Linked DNA regions of Arabidopsis thaliana. The protein of the gene in region 1 interacts with the protein of each later gene in a pairwise test. Each region holds a gene or a part of one and is shown on either strand. Other genes may lie near its edges. The genes, in order: HSPRO2, BLH1 and BEL10.

Region 1 (3,761 bases):
CATATTTGAATTACGACTTGTGGATAATTCAAAGTATGGATTACGATATTCGTAAATGTTATCGTTTGTTAAAAAATCTCATAAATCATATAAAAATGAATTTGTATTCAAATATGGATCGTCAAATGTTCCAAAAATTTCACTATCTTACAAACTAAATTAAACCAAACCACCAATTTAAATTTATATTAAATAATTATACCAGCAGAAATTAAAATTTAATCATCCCAAATGACTCCAAAACTCTCCCAGAAACGTCTTTGCCGCGTCAAGGCTCGGGAAATACGTCGGCTCCATAAATATCTGACTCAGTGAGTCACACGACTCTTGACTCGCCGTCGCGTTCATCTCCGCACTTCCCATCATAGCCGCCACTAACTGCCTATACCCAAAGAAGAAACTCTTCGCCGCCGCTTCCACCGCTTGCATCCCCTGAAGCAAATGAATCTTATCGCACTCTGTCTTCCTCGCGTAAAGCTTCATCGCCGCCTCTTGTAATCTTGGTCCTCCGGTTGGATCTACCTCAACCGCCAAGACCGCCGGTACTTTCTGTCTCAGATCTTTCGACATCTTCATCATCTCCACTAATCCTTTAGATCTGAAACAAAACGCATCGTTTTTACCCGTCGATTTGATCTGTAACTGTTTCTTCAATTTCAAAAAATCTTCCGGATCCATCAACATATGAAGATCTTCAATCTCCGCTAAAATTTTCCAGATCTTCTCCAGCAAGTAAACATCGTTTGAAGCTTTTCCGAATTTCTCTTCTTCGATACTTGAGACGATTCGATTCAGAAGATTTCCAGATGCGTAGATCCACGATTCGAGGATCTGGTGAATGATATAGAGAGTTTGATTCTCGTGATTATCGATATGATCTGCGTATGGATTATCCTTGAGGCTATAGATCTCGTTTGGTCGGCAAATCGCATCGTACCGGAGATTTGGTTTTCCGGCGATGTTTTGTTCACCGAGTCCGAGCGTGTACTTACACCGACTCATCTCGTTATCGATCGTATATAAGATCTTCTTCCCCAAAGCCTCTGATCTCCTCCACGTAGCTAGCTGCGGTAACAAACTCAACGAACTCCGTCCACCGCCGACCGGAGCCTCCGCTGATATACCTTCTTCTTCTTCATCTTCGCAGATCGCTGCTACAAGCTGGATCTGCTTCGTGATGAGAGAATCTAGCCTCCGGTTCCATTCACGGTGGTTGATGTACGGTCTAGTATCAGAACAAACGGCGAAAACTAATCTGAAACTGATCTCCAAAGCTTGAAGAGCTGGTTTGAGAATCGGCTCTGATGTCCATTGAGGAAAATCACGAGATGACCAGAGCTTTCTTAGCTCAGGGAGACGAAGGTAAAGCTCGTAAGCAGAGCAAAGAGCAGGTGCTGAACATGAGATCGGAGATGAAACAGGGACGATTTTGAACGGTGATGGAATAGTTACGTGAAGCTTTGAAGAAAGCTTAGGTGAGTTTGGTAAATCTGATGATACCATCTTCCTCTTCCAATCCATATCAACCATTTTTATTTTTTTAAGGTCTGTGTTTTTTTTGGTGTGTGTGTTTGTGTTTGTGTGTTAAATTTTGAATTTGAGGATGAGTTTAGGATACGAGGAGAGTATATATAGAGAGAAATGTGGATAGAGGATGGGGACGAGAAAAAAGGCGTGTGGAATAATACCGACGCGACTGATTTGAAAGTCAGCGTAGAAACGCGGTCTCCTTTTTAAAAAAAAAAAAAACCAGTACTGTGGATTAATTTCAGGATAATCTTTTTTTCGTTTTTTGGCTTTATATTGCTTTTTGAACTGTTTTCTATGAAAGGTAAATGCCTGATGATTAGTCGAATGTTCAGTAATCTGATTTCTAAGGAAATATCGAATATTTTCTCGTTTTTGGTAAGATATTATCTTTTAATAAAAGTTAAAGTTAAAACACACAGTCATGTTCATAACATGTTAATACATATATAGAAATGTTTTATTTGATGATATATGCGATGTAGTATAACATTTAGGGGTTGATCGATAAGAATATAAAATTTTCTGCAAATACATTTTTGAAAGTCAGTCATGCGTTATGGGTTGTCACTTATGAGCAATATTTACAAGCTGTAGATAGTTTTTGATCGAAGCAAATATATAATAATTTTGATAGTTGTCGATCTACAGCTACAAGTTCAACTAATCATGCACATGGTGTTTTGAATATATATCAACAATCGTAAAACATAACAGGTGTCATGTACCACATAAAACTGAAAGAAAACAATGTTTTAGTTGCAAATATGAAAAACGTCATTTATTTTCTATAATGAATTGAATAGAAAAAGAGAGAAAAATCACGTATTTGTTTATGTATATTTATGTATAAAACGGACAAAATTGTGAAATTTTAGTAGCGTAATGACGGGCAATTAAAGAAACTCAAGAAAGCATAAACTTAAATTCGCAACACTAGAGATTTTAATACATGTTTGATGTTTCCCTACAAAAGTTATAAAAGCTCTATCTATAAGGTCAAACAATTAGGATAATACTTGCAAGTAGGAGCATTATAAGACAAATATACGTTACGATAAAATTATTGCTCAAAATTAAATTTGGATACTAGAAAAGTGTATAGTCCGCAGTTTTCACAAATATAGTGTCCCCTAAATTAGTACTGTATCGTGTTATCAGTATTTGAAACGCGTATATAATAAAAATGACTATTTTTTATTGTAGTGTGGATAAGCATTTAGACGGTGCCGTGTTATGAATTGAAAAAGGAATGGCACATGGAAGTAGGAGGAATATAGATGCGAAGCTTATCCAAAATATGTGAGGAAGGTTGGAGTTTGGTCTCACTTAATCTTCTAATAGTGTTTTACTTGGAAGCTGTCGTTTCCTTTGACTTTGGTTTTTCTTTTTTCTTTTCCAGTTCAATATTCTAATCTCACCGATTTTTTTGTTTATTTATTATATACGATAGATAAATTTTGATTGTAATAAGACTGTTTTGAGATTTCTTCACCAAATCTCTTTTAAGTGCATGAAATATATTTTTTGTGACCAAGACTTTCATGGATGTTTCTGTTAATTTATCGGTACATTGGATATTGAATTTAATTAATACTATCAGTTGGAAACGGTTCGAGTGAAGACAGACCATTTCTTCCATTACATATTAGACATTAGACAAGTAGATTATAACAAAGGACAAATGATTATATAGTTTGAAATACAAATTAGTGGTCTATAATCTTCTTTATGTTAAGAGTTTTCTTTTCAAATAACTACTTATGTTTTAATTGGTATTGTTTACATCTATTTTACGTACGTCACTTGTTTGCACTTTGCACTGATCAAAGCCATCTTTAACAATAACGTTTTTCTACAACCAATTACACCCGCCTAGTAAATTCGAGACACATATTCTCTTTAAAAAGAATAAAATGTTACAACTAGTAAATTCGAGGCATTAGTCTTACCCTAAAACCAACTTTTTATATATGTTAATAAATACACTTTCTTTAGCTATATTGTTTTGGTTACTGAATCATTCCACTATTCATATCATTTAATATACATCCTATACTATTACGTTTTAAAAAAAATATATATATATGAAAAGTATGCAAAGAAGTTTGTAGATTGACGACAAAAAAAAAAAAAAAAAAATGTAGATTGTCTGCTTATTTTCTATTTTCCTTCCTCATTCCTTAACTTTGAATTCAAATAACTAAAATAAGTCATCTTTTGAGGAAAAAGAA
Region 2 (3,761 bases), 1.6 Mb from region 1:
TTGTGAAAATGACTGAAAATCTTAGGGACAGAACTTTTAAGTCCACTTCATGTGTGATATAAGAGAGCACTCAGTATATGTAGGCTTATTGTATATAATACGTATTGTTGTTACCTCATGAAGCATGTTACTAAGTTTTGCTTTCTTCATCTGTATTTCTTGTCTCTCTGCCGTGCCTAGCTCCACCGGACGTTTCCCGGCTGCTTCTGCTCCGCCACCGGAACCTTCTCCTCCAGCGCCGGCCGATGATTCTCCGACAGGTTTATCATTTCCGCAACTACCCTTTTTCGATGAGAATAGTTGGGATTTAGCGTTCATGTCATCGGAATCAGCGTTGACTACTTCGTCAAGAAGCTCTTGTGCTGCCTTCAAGTACTTGGAGCTAACAAGATTAGCTATACCGTTTGTTACCCCCGATCCTGTAGAGCCAGACCCGACCCGGATATCTTCTCCATGTCCGGACCCGAATCCGACGTGAATAGGCTGGTGTTGTTGATGATGTTGCTGTTGCTGCTGCTGTTGAGACGAGAGGGTTAAAGAGAGGCCTTGCTGCGCGCGTGGCGTCTCACACGCGGCTTGCTGGTGAGTGGGATCCACTTGGTGGCTACCGTAGAGACTGTACTGCACGCGCGGAGGATAACCGTGAAGTACGGAGATGTTGTCGGCGGCTGTAATGGAAGCAGCTTCGTGACCTGAGAGTGGTATTCCGACGAACTGCTGGCTCGCGTTTGGCTGCGGCGCGTGGGAATCGAGGAAAACGAAACTACTGTTGTTGTTGTTTGTGTTTGTGTTTGTGTTGTTGTTGTTGCTATTGTTGCTGTTGTTGTTGTTGTTCGAGTCGTTGTCTTGTTGGGTGTACTGAACGTAAGTAGTTGGATTCATGAGGATCAACGTTTGAAGACCACCGTCGGATCCGGCAGAGATCTCCGGTGGGTTTCCGTGAAAGTAAGCAGCCATCTATGTATAATTAGTAGTTGTTACACACGAATGAAACGACGTCGTTTTCTTTGATTCTCTTTCAATTCTTGACCTTCTTTCACCAAGCTGATTGATATCATAGAAAAACAAACAAAAGTATGAAAAAGGAGCAAAAACAAAACCACTATAAGTTTAATATAGATCTGTATATATATACAGTTGAAGCGAAGAAAAAAAGAATCGTGATCACATCAAGAAGACGAAGAAGAAGGGATGAATTATGGATTATGAGAAAGAGAGATTGAAGGATATGGAAATTAAGACATAATCATGATTGAAAATAAAATAATAAAATAATAGAGTTAGAAATTGAAAGAAAAAATGAATATTATAAAAGATGAAGAACCTGGATTGATAGAGATCTGAGGATGCACGTGTTTCATGATCATCTCAAGCTGCAAAAGGAAAGTTACATTAGAGAATTTCTATCAAAGAGAAAGAGAGAGAGACAGACACACACACATACACACGAATATACACTTATATATATATATTTATATGCATACCTGTGTTTGTGGAGATGTGTGTGATTGCTATGTGAGTTTGGTCTCTGTGTCAGACTCAAAGATCTCTGCAACTCTTTTCTTGCTCAAAGGGGAAATATAAAATACATTTAAAAAGCTGAGAAATAATATATAACAAAATAAAAATGACTAATATATATTGAAAGAGAGAGAGGATAAAGAAAGGAGAGATAAAAGATACCCATCTTTTCCTTCACTCATTAATCTTCCCACAGTCCTTAGTACGCCACCATTTTTCATCACTTTCTTTCTATTTTATTTTATTTTAGTGTTGTGGTCGGTATATCTTATAACCAAAGTGGATTTTTTGTTAAATGGGACAATAACCAATGTTTAGGACATGAAATATTCACTAATGTAACTTAATTTTACATTCATATATTGATATATACTTGTATCCGCAAAACAATTTGTGTGTGTGTGTGTGTTTACGTTCACCACCAGCTAATATTACTTATCTTTTTAATTTAATATGCTAAATAGACATTCCAACCATGTTGGAATTTGTTTTCAAAATTGATATTAAACTCTACACTTAGATATAGCTTTATGTAATCATTTAAATTAGTGTACTCTAGAGCAATTGGTTCAACAGTTTTTTTAAATAGAAAAAGATTAATGAATAAATTAAGAAAAAGACATAGCATTCTTTCATACTGCATGTTCAAAAAACCTTTACTTCATGTTATTATCACTATATAGCATGGTGATAAATAAGTTACAAAGTACATATATATCATAGGGAGCTAAAATTCATAAAACTAAGTGAGAAAATGTGCATATAATTGTTTGTTGTTGAAATTCTAGTTTGACATCCAGTACAAGAGATAATATTAAATTCGAAATATTTCAACTTCATAGACATATGTATACATTATTTGGTAATATATATGTGATACGTATCTTATTATAAATTTAGAATTGGTATACTTGAAAAACAGAGGAACTTGTATGATATGACTTTGGCCTTTTCATGTATTGACCAGGTAATGAACCCACATATCATAACAACCAAACACCCTTTATTTAGTTATTTATAGACGATATAATTTCATAGATGAAGTAAATGTTATCACATCAAGACATAGTGATATGTATGTCGTGTCCAATTTAGAATCATATCATTTTCTTTTAAAACATTATATTTGTATTTATTTAATAAAAAGAAATCCCACACGCATCTCAATCCAAATCTTTCTTTATTGATATAACTACAATCCTGAACATAAAGTATTCTTCGGATTACTATTCTTGCAGACTTTTATCATCTAGCAAGTTCAGAGTGTACACTGAGGATGGCAACGAACTTTGAACTGATTATGATTTATAAGTAATAAAATTAGTAATGTTTACGTTACCAAGTTCTTTTCATTTTTTCTTTTTTCAACTGTTTTTTTCTTTAATTTCATTTCATTATTTTCCTCAGCAGATTAACTAAGATACTTTATTTACAAAGTTTTATATTACCACATACACATAAAAACTTAAAACGCATCAACACTTTATTCTAGAAAATGAATAGATTTCATTTTTGAAAGTCCTACCGTTAGTTTATATTTTTCTTCCAAACACTCAAATAGGTTAAGAGTATAATATTTTAAATATACATAATGGGATTAGAGAAATTGAAAACTTATACGGAAAAGTGAATTGTGTCAGAAGATCCAAACAGCACAAAAACGAGGAAACGTCTCCTTCTGCAGAAACCTAAAATATTTAATCACACAAAAATCTAAATTATTGAGAAAGAGAGGAGAGAGGAAGAAAGAAGATGATAACGATAATGATAATGAAGCATGATGGGGAAAGAGTGGGTCCCGTTAAATGTATATTTACTTTTATTTCTTTATTTCATATATTCTTTTAGTTTACCACGTATGTCTATTTTTAAAGGGTATTTGACTAAAAGTATTTTATTTAAAATATAATTAGAAATATAGTAGATAATTTTAGTTGATTAATTGCAAAGAGTGTTTAAGTTCATGAGAAAGTCTTTTTTAGTAACTTGTATTTATTTTATTTATACGATATAGATAATTATAATTTGTATGTAGAACAACAAAAACATATGTGGACAAATTTGCTTATCTTTTTGAATCGTTTACCGTCCACATAAACAAACTACCAGTTATGTAAAATAAATCATCCATAGCGCATAAAAACTGGTATCTTGTTATTTTTCAAAAGCATTTTTGAAACTAGTATGTTCATATTTATACATATCTTATTGTTGATCAAAACAATTGTAGGGTTGGCCTC
Region 3 (3,761 bases), on another chromosome or scaffold:
TTATCTTCCTTCTCTCGGCTACATCTCTTTCCACTAACACTACAGGAATCAAAAGTAGATCTCACGAGAATCATTCCTACTGTTGATACAGATAAAACCAATAGAATCATCAGTGGCCATCTCTTCTTCTGCAATGTTGCCCACATACTCGTTGATGGCTTCGCCATTGTTTCTCTCTACAGCTTAGAATCACATCCTAGGGTTTACACAGTAACAATCGATCTCAGAACTTTCTAAGGATCTGTCGTCAGTGATGGAGAAAGCTTGGAACGAAGAAGTTTAGAGGAGAGATTTAATGGGGAAAAGCCGCTAATCAGTGTTGACTCTTTGCAGAAGTTTGCAATTCACGCCGTTTTTGTTATTTAGAAGGAAGTTGATTGCCGTTTCTCAGCAGGCCCCCGATGGAATCCTCTCTTCATATTTATAATGGGCTTTAAAAGGCCTATTTGCTAAAAGCCTAAAACTAAACTAGTTATGATGATAGTTAATGCATACTATATGGTTTTAATTCTTTTTTTTTCTTAAGCTAAGCTAGGCTTCAGATTAGTTTTGCTGATACAATTTTGGTTTGGTTTTGTTTGGTTCTAATAATGGAGAGCATAATGATTTCGATCCATAGAATATAAATGTTACAAACATGAATTTTAGTGGTGATGATCCGTCTTCATATATGGTCCAACAATGTATGTGGCAATAAATTCTTTTACTTTTTGTTACACGGCCATAACTTGTGGCTATTTATTATAAAGTTTTTTTTCGGATATATCCATGTAATTAATATATTTGACAATTGGCAAGAATTATTATACTTCAACATTTTCCTCCAAACCAAAGGTTGTTCATTTCTTACTCACACACATTTTCCTCGTTTAGCATCATCGATTCATCCTCAACTTTAAAATATGATTTACAGAACCATACGGTTTTAAAAATAATTACATCATTAATAATCTAAATTTTTAGTAGATTTAATCAATCTCTCACCAGCTAACTGCCTAATTAATTTATTTTTAATCATCATTATAAATCAAGATCCACGTGGAAACAAAAGTCAATATCATCATCTCTCAAAGACTCAAAACACATGAATAATAATTTTCCAACACAATGGTACTTGCCAAATGATTTTGTGTCGGCTGCTCTAAATCCAATCTCCAACAAACCAAAACGAAACTACTTGTTATTTTAAAAATCAGAGGAAATGGATTATATTATTAGTGTAGCTATAAAGATAATCTTTTACGTATTCTTCATTGTGGAATATGCAAATACAAACATGTAAGTGTATAACTAAAAGGTTTATAACAAAAGAAATAAAAAGACAAGAGAACTTAGAATAAAAATTGGGTATAACAGAAGAGTAAGGAGGGACTCACCAACTGGTTGTTAAGTCATTTAATCCATCAATTAAGCAATTGAGCAGACACACACCCACCTTTGTTTTATCTTCTTCCTTAAACCAGCTTATCAGGGTCAGTTTTGTAATCTCATATTCCTACCTATAATGACGTTTCTATGTTTTATTTGATGGAGTTTAATTTCCGCTACCATGCATAACTAAAAGTATATCCGTTATATCAAACATTTAAAGAAAACCTCAAAGATATTGAACTACAAAGTGCTCAAGAAGTTCTATTAAAAATGTATCGAACTTTAACTTTATGATGAAAGCAAGGTGATAAGAACAAATAGTTTAAAAAAACATTTTAGTTTGAAATCCAAATCTAGACTCTATAATTTGTGGCAGGTAATAATTTCACTATTTTGGAGCCTCACGTACACAAATCAGGAAGTCGTTAAAAGTTTCCCACGATACCATGGTAATGTACGCATTATAGATTATTTCGTTTAAATAGTTAGATTTGGTTTTTTTTTTTAATATACAAATACTAAACTTTTCATATATAAACACTCATTCCTTCAACTTTTTTCTTTTGGTTGTATTTAGTTAACTTATACGGAAAAGTAGTATGAGTCTCAAGTCAATGACAACACAACATCATTAAAGTATAATACAATCATCTATAAAAATCCATTTATTTGTGTGTGTGGAATTGTTAAGTTTTGTATGTTAAAGTCGTCATAAGAAATATTATCACGTAATCAAGAAAAGAAAATTGGTGATTTGTAAGCTCTCACGTGTTTCTCTATGAATGGTTGGCACACAAAAAAAATCATATTAATTTATCTTTACTCTAAGCATCAGAAACAGAAGCTTCTGCCGCAAAAAATTAAAAATTACAGGTAGCGGTTGTCAAATTTTTCCGGTAGTGATCATTATTTTATTTTATTGTTGATATTGCATAATAATATTTTTAAAAATTGGGTTGGTGTCTAATGTCCCAATGATAAGTTGGGTTGGTTTTATTGTTCTTGTGGACTGAAAAAAATTTGTTTATTTAAGAATTTTGCAATTATTAATCGCCTCTTTCTCTATCTCTCTCGGGATTGGGTCTCAAATCTTTTTTTGTCTTCAACTGTTCGAAACTCTTCTGCTTTTGTGTTTCCTGATTCAGCCACATCCACACTCACAAACACAATCTCTAGGTTTTTTTTCTTCCTTTTAACTTTGATTCTCTCCCTCAGGTAGTTTTTAAAAATTCAAGTTCTTGATTCTTGATTCTTGATATGATTAATCTTGTACTGTGTTTCTTGATTATTATTTTTTGTATACTTTCTGTGTTTTTTTTCTCCCTTGCTTTTTGGAAATTCTCCTACAAGAGATGAAATCATCAAGACACTTTACTTCTTTATGTAATAATTGAATCTTCTCTGCTTTTGACTCACTACGTTGAGCTACACAATTTCTTTTTACTCTGCATTTTTTTTTCCAACCTCAAATTAGGGTTTTTTTCTCCTCTCAATTTCACCTCCATAGATCGGGTATTCCTCTACGATTACACAATTCCTGTATTGGGTTTTTCTGGGTTTCTTCAGTTCTTCACGAAAAACATTTGCTTTTTATCAAGAATTTGACTTTAATCCTCCGAATAATTTGGTCCGATTCTGTTTGTTGCTTTCGAAACTGTTTATGTATGATATATAAAAAAAATGGTTTGGTGTGAAATGATTACGATGTTTTAACCTCTCTTAGATTCCATCAGAAATTTTTAAAATTCCACACCTTACACGACTCTTCTTCCTCTTATTTTTTTGCAGGATCTCATTTCCCGACCAAACTCATCGAACTAAGAACTCACTGTAATAAAACTTTTAAAAGGTGTAAACACCAATGGCAGTTTATTACACAAGTAATGTCGGTTGTTACCAGCAAGAACCAATCTTTCTCAACCATCAACAACAAAACCAACAAGCTTCTTCTTCATCCGCCGCCGCTTCTTTCACCGTCACCGGCGGCGATACTGTTCGAAACGAGATGGTTTTTATCCCACCAACCACCACAGGAGACGTTGTAACAGGAAACGGTACCGTTTCAAGCAGCGATCTAAGCTTTCACGATGGTCAAGGACTGTCTTTGAGCCTTGGTACTCAGATCTCTGTTGCTCCGTTTCACTTTCATCAATACCAATTGGGGTTTACTAGTCAGAATCCTTCAATTTCAGTCAAGGAAACGTCACCGTTTCATGTGGATGAGATGAGTGTGAAGAGCAAAGAAATGATCTTGTTGGGTCAATCTGATCCTTCCTCTGGTTATGCTGGTAATGGTGGGAATGGCTTCTACAACAATTATCGGTATAATGAGACATCAGGAGGGTTTATGAGCAGCGTTCTGCGTTCTCGGTATCTTAAACCTGCTCAGA

What was found.
Region 2: the proteins of HSPRO2 (region 1) and BLH1 interact in a two-hybrid assay, tested with the Arabidopsis thaliana proteins (one large-scale study listed by BioGRID).
Region 3: the proteins of HSPRO2 (region 1) and BEL10 interact in a two-hybrid assay, tested with the Arabidopsis thaliana proteins (one large-scale study listed by BioGRID).

The regions. Positions count from the first base shown.
Region 1 is NC_003071.7:16,700,427-16,704,187, forward strand, and holds HSPRO2 (ortholog of sugar beet HS1 PRO-1 2), read right to left. Parts: upstream 1,911-3,761; 5' UTR 1,531-1,910; coding exon 223-1,530; 3' UTR 64-222; downstream 1-63. UniProt on the Arabidopsis thaliana protein: Positive regulator of basal resistance.
Region 2 is NC_003071.7:15,090,743-15,094,503, forward strand, and holds the start of BLH1 (BEL1-like homeodomain 1), read right to left. Parts: upstream 1,674-3,761; 5' UTR 1,485-1,673; intron 1,437-1,484; exon of another isoform or gene 1,374-1,436; 5' UTR 1,325-1,373; exon of another isoform or gene 1,045-1,324; 5' UTR 958-1,044; coding exon 115-957; exon of another isoform or gene 1-114.
Region 3 is NC_003070.9:6,811,326-6,815,086, reverse strand, and holds the start of BEL10 (BEL1-like homeodomain 10), read left to right. Parts: upstream 1-2,023; 5' UTR 2,024-2,244; intron 2,245-2,329; exon of another isoform or gene 2,330-2,883; intron 2,884-3,092; exon of another isoform or gene 3,093-3,159; 5' UTR 3,160-3,232; coding exon 3,233-3,761. Other genes in the region: AT1G19710 (UDP-Glycosyltransferase superfamily protein), read right to left, coding at 1-167.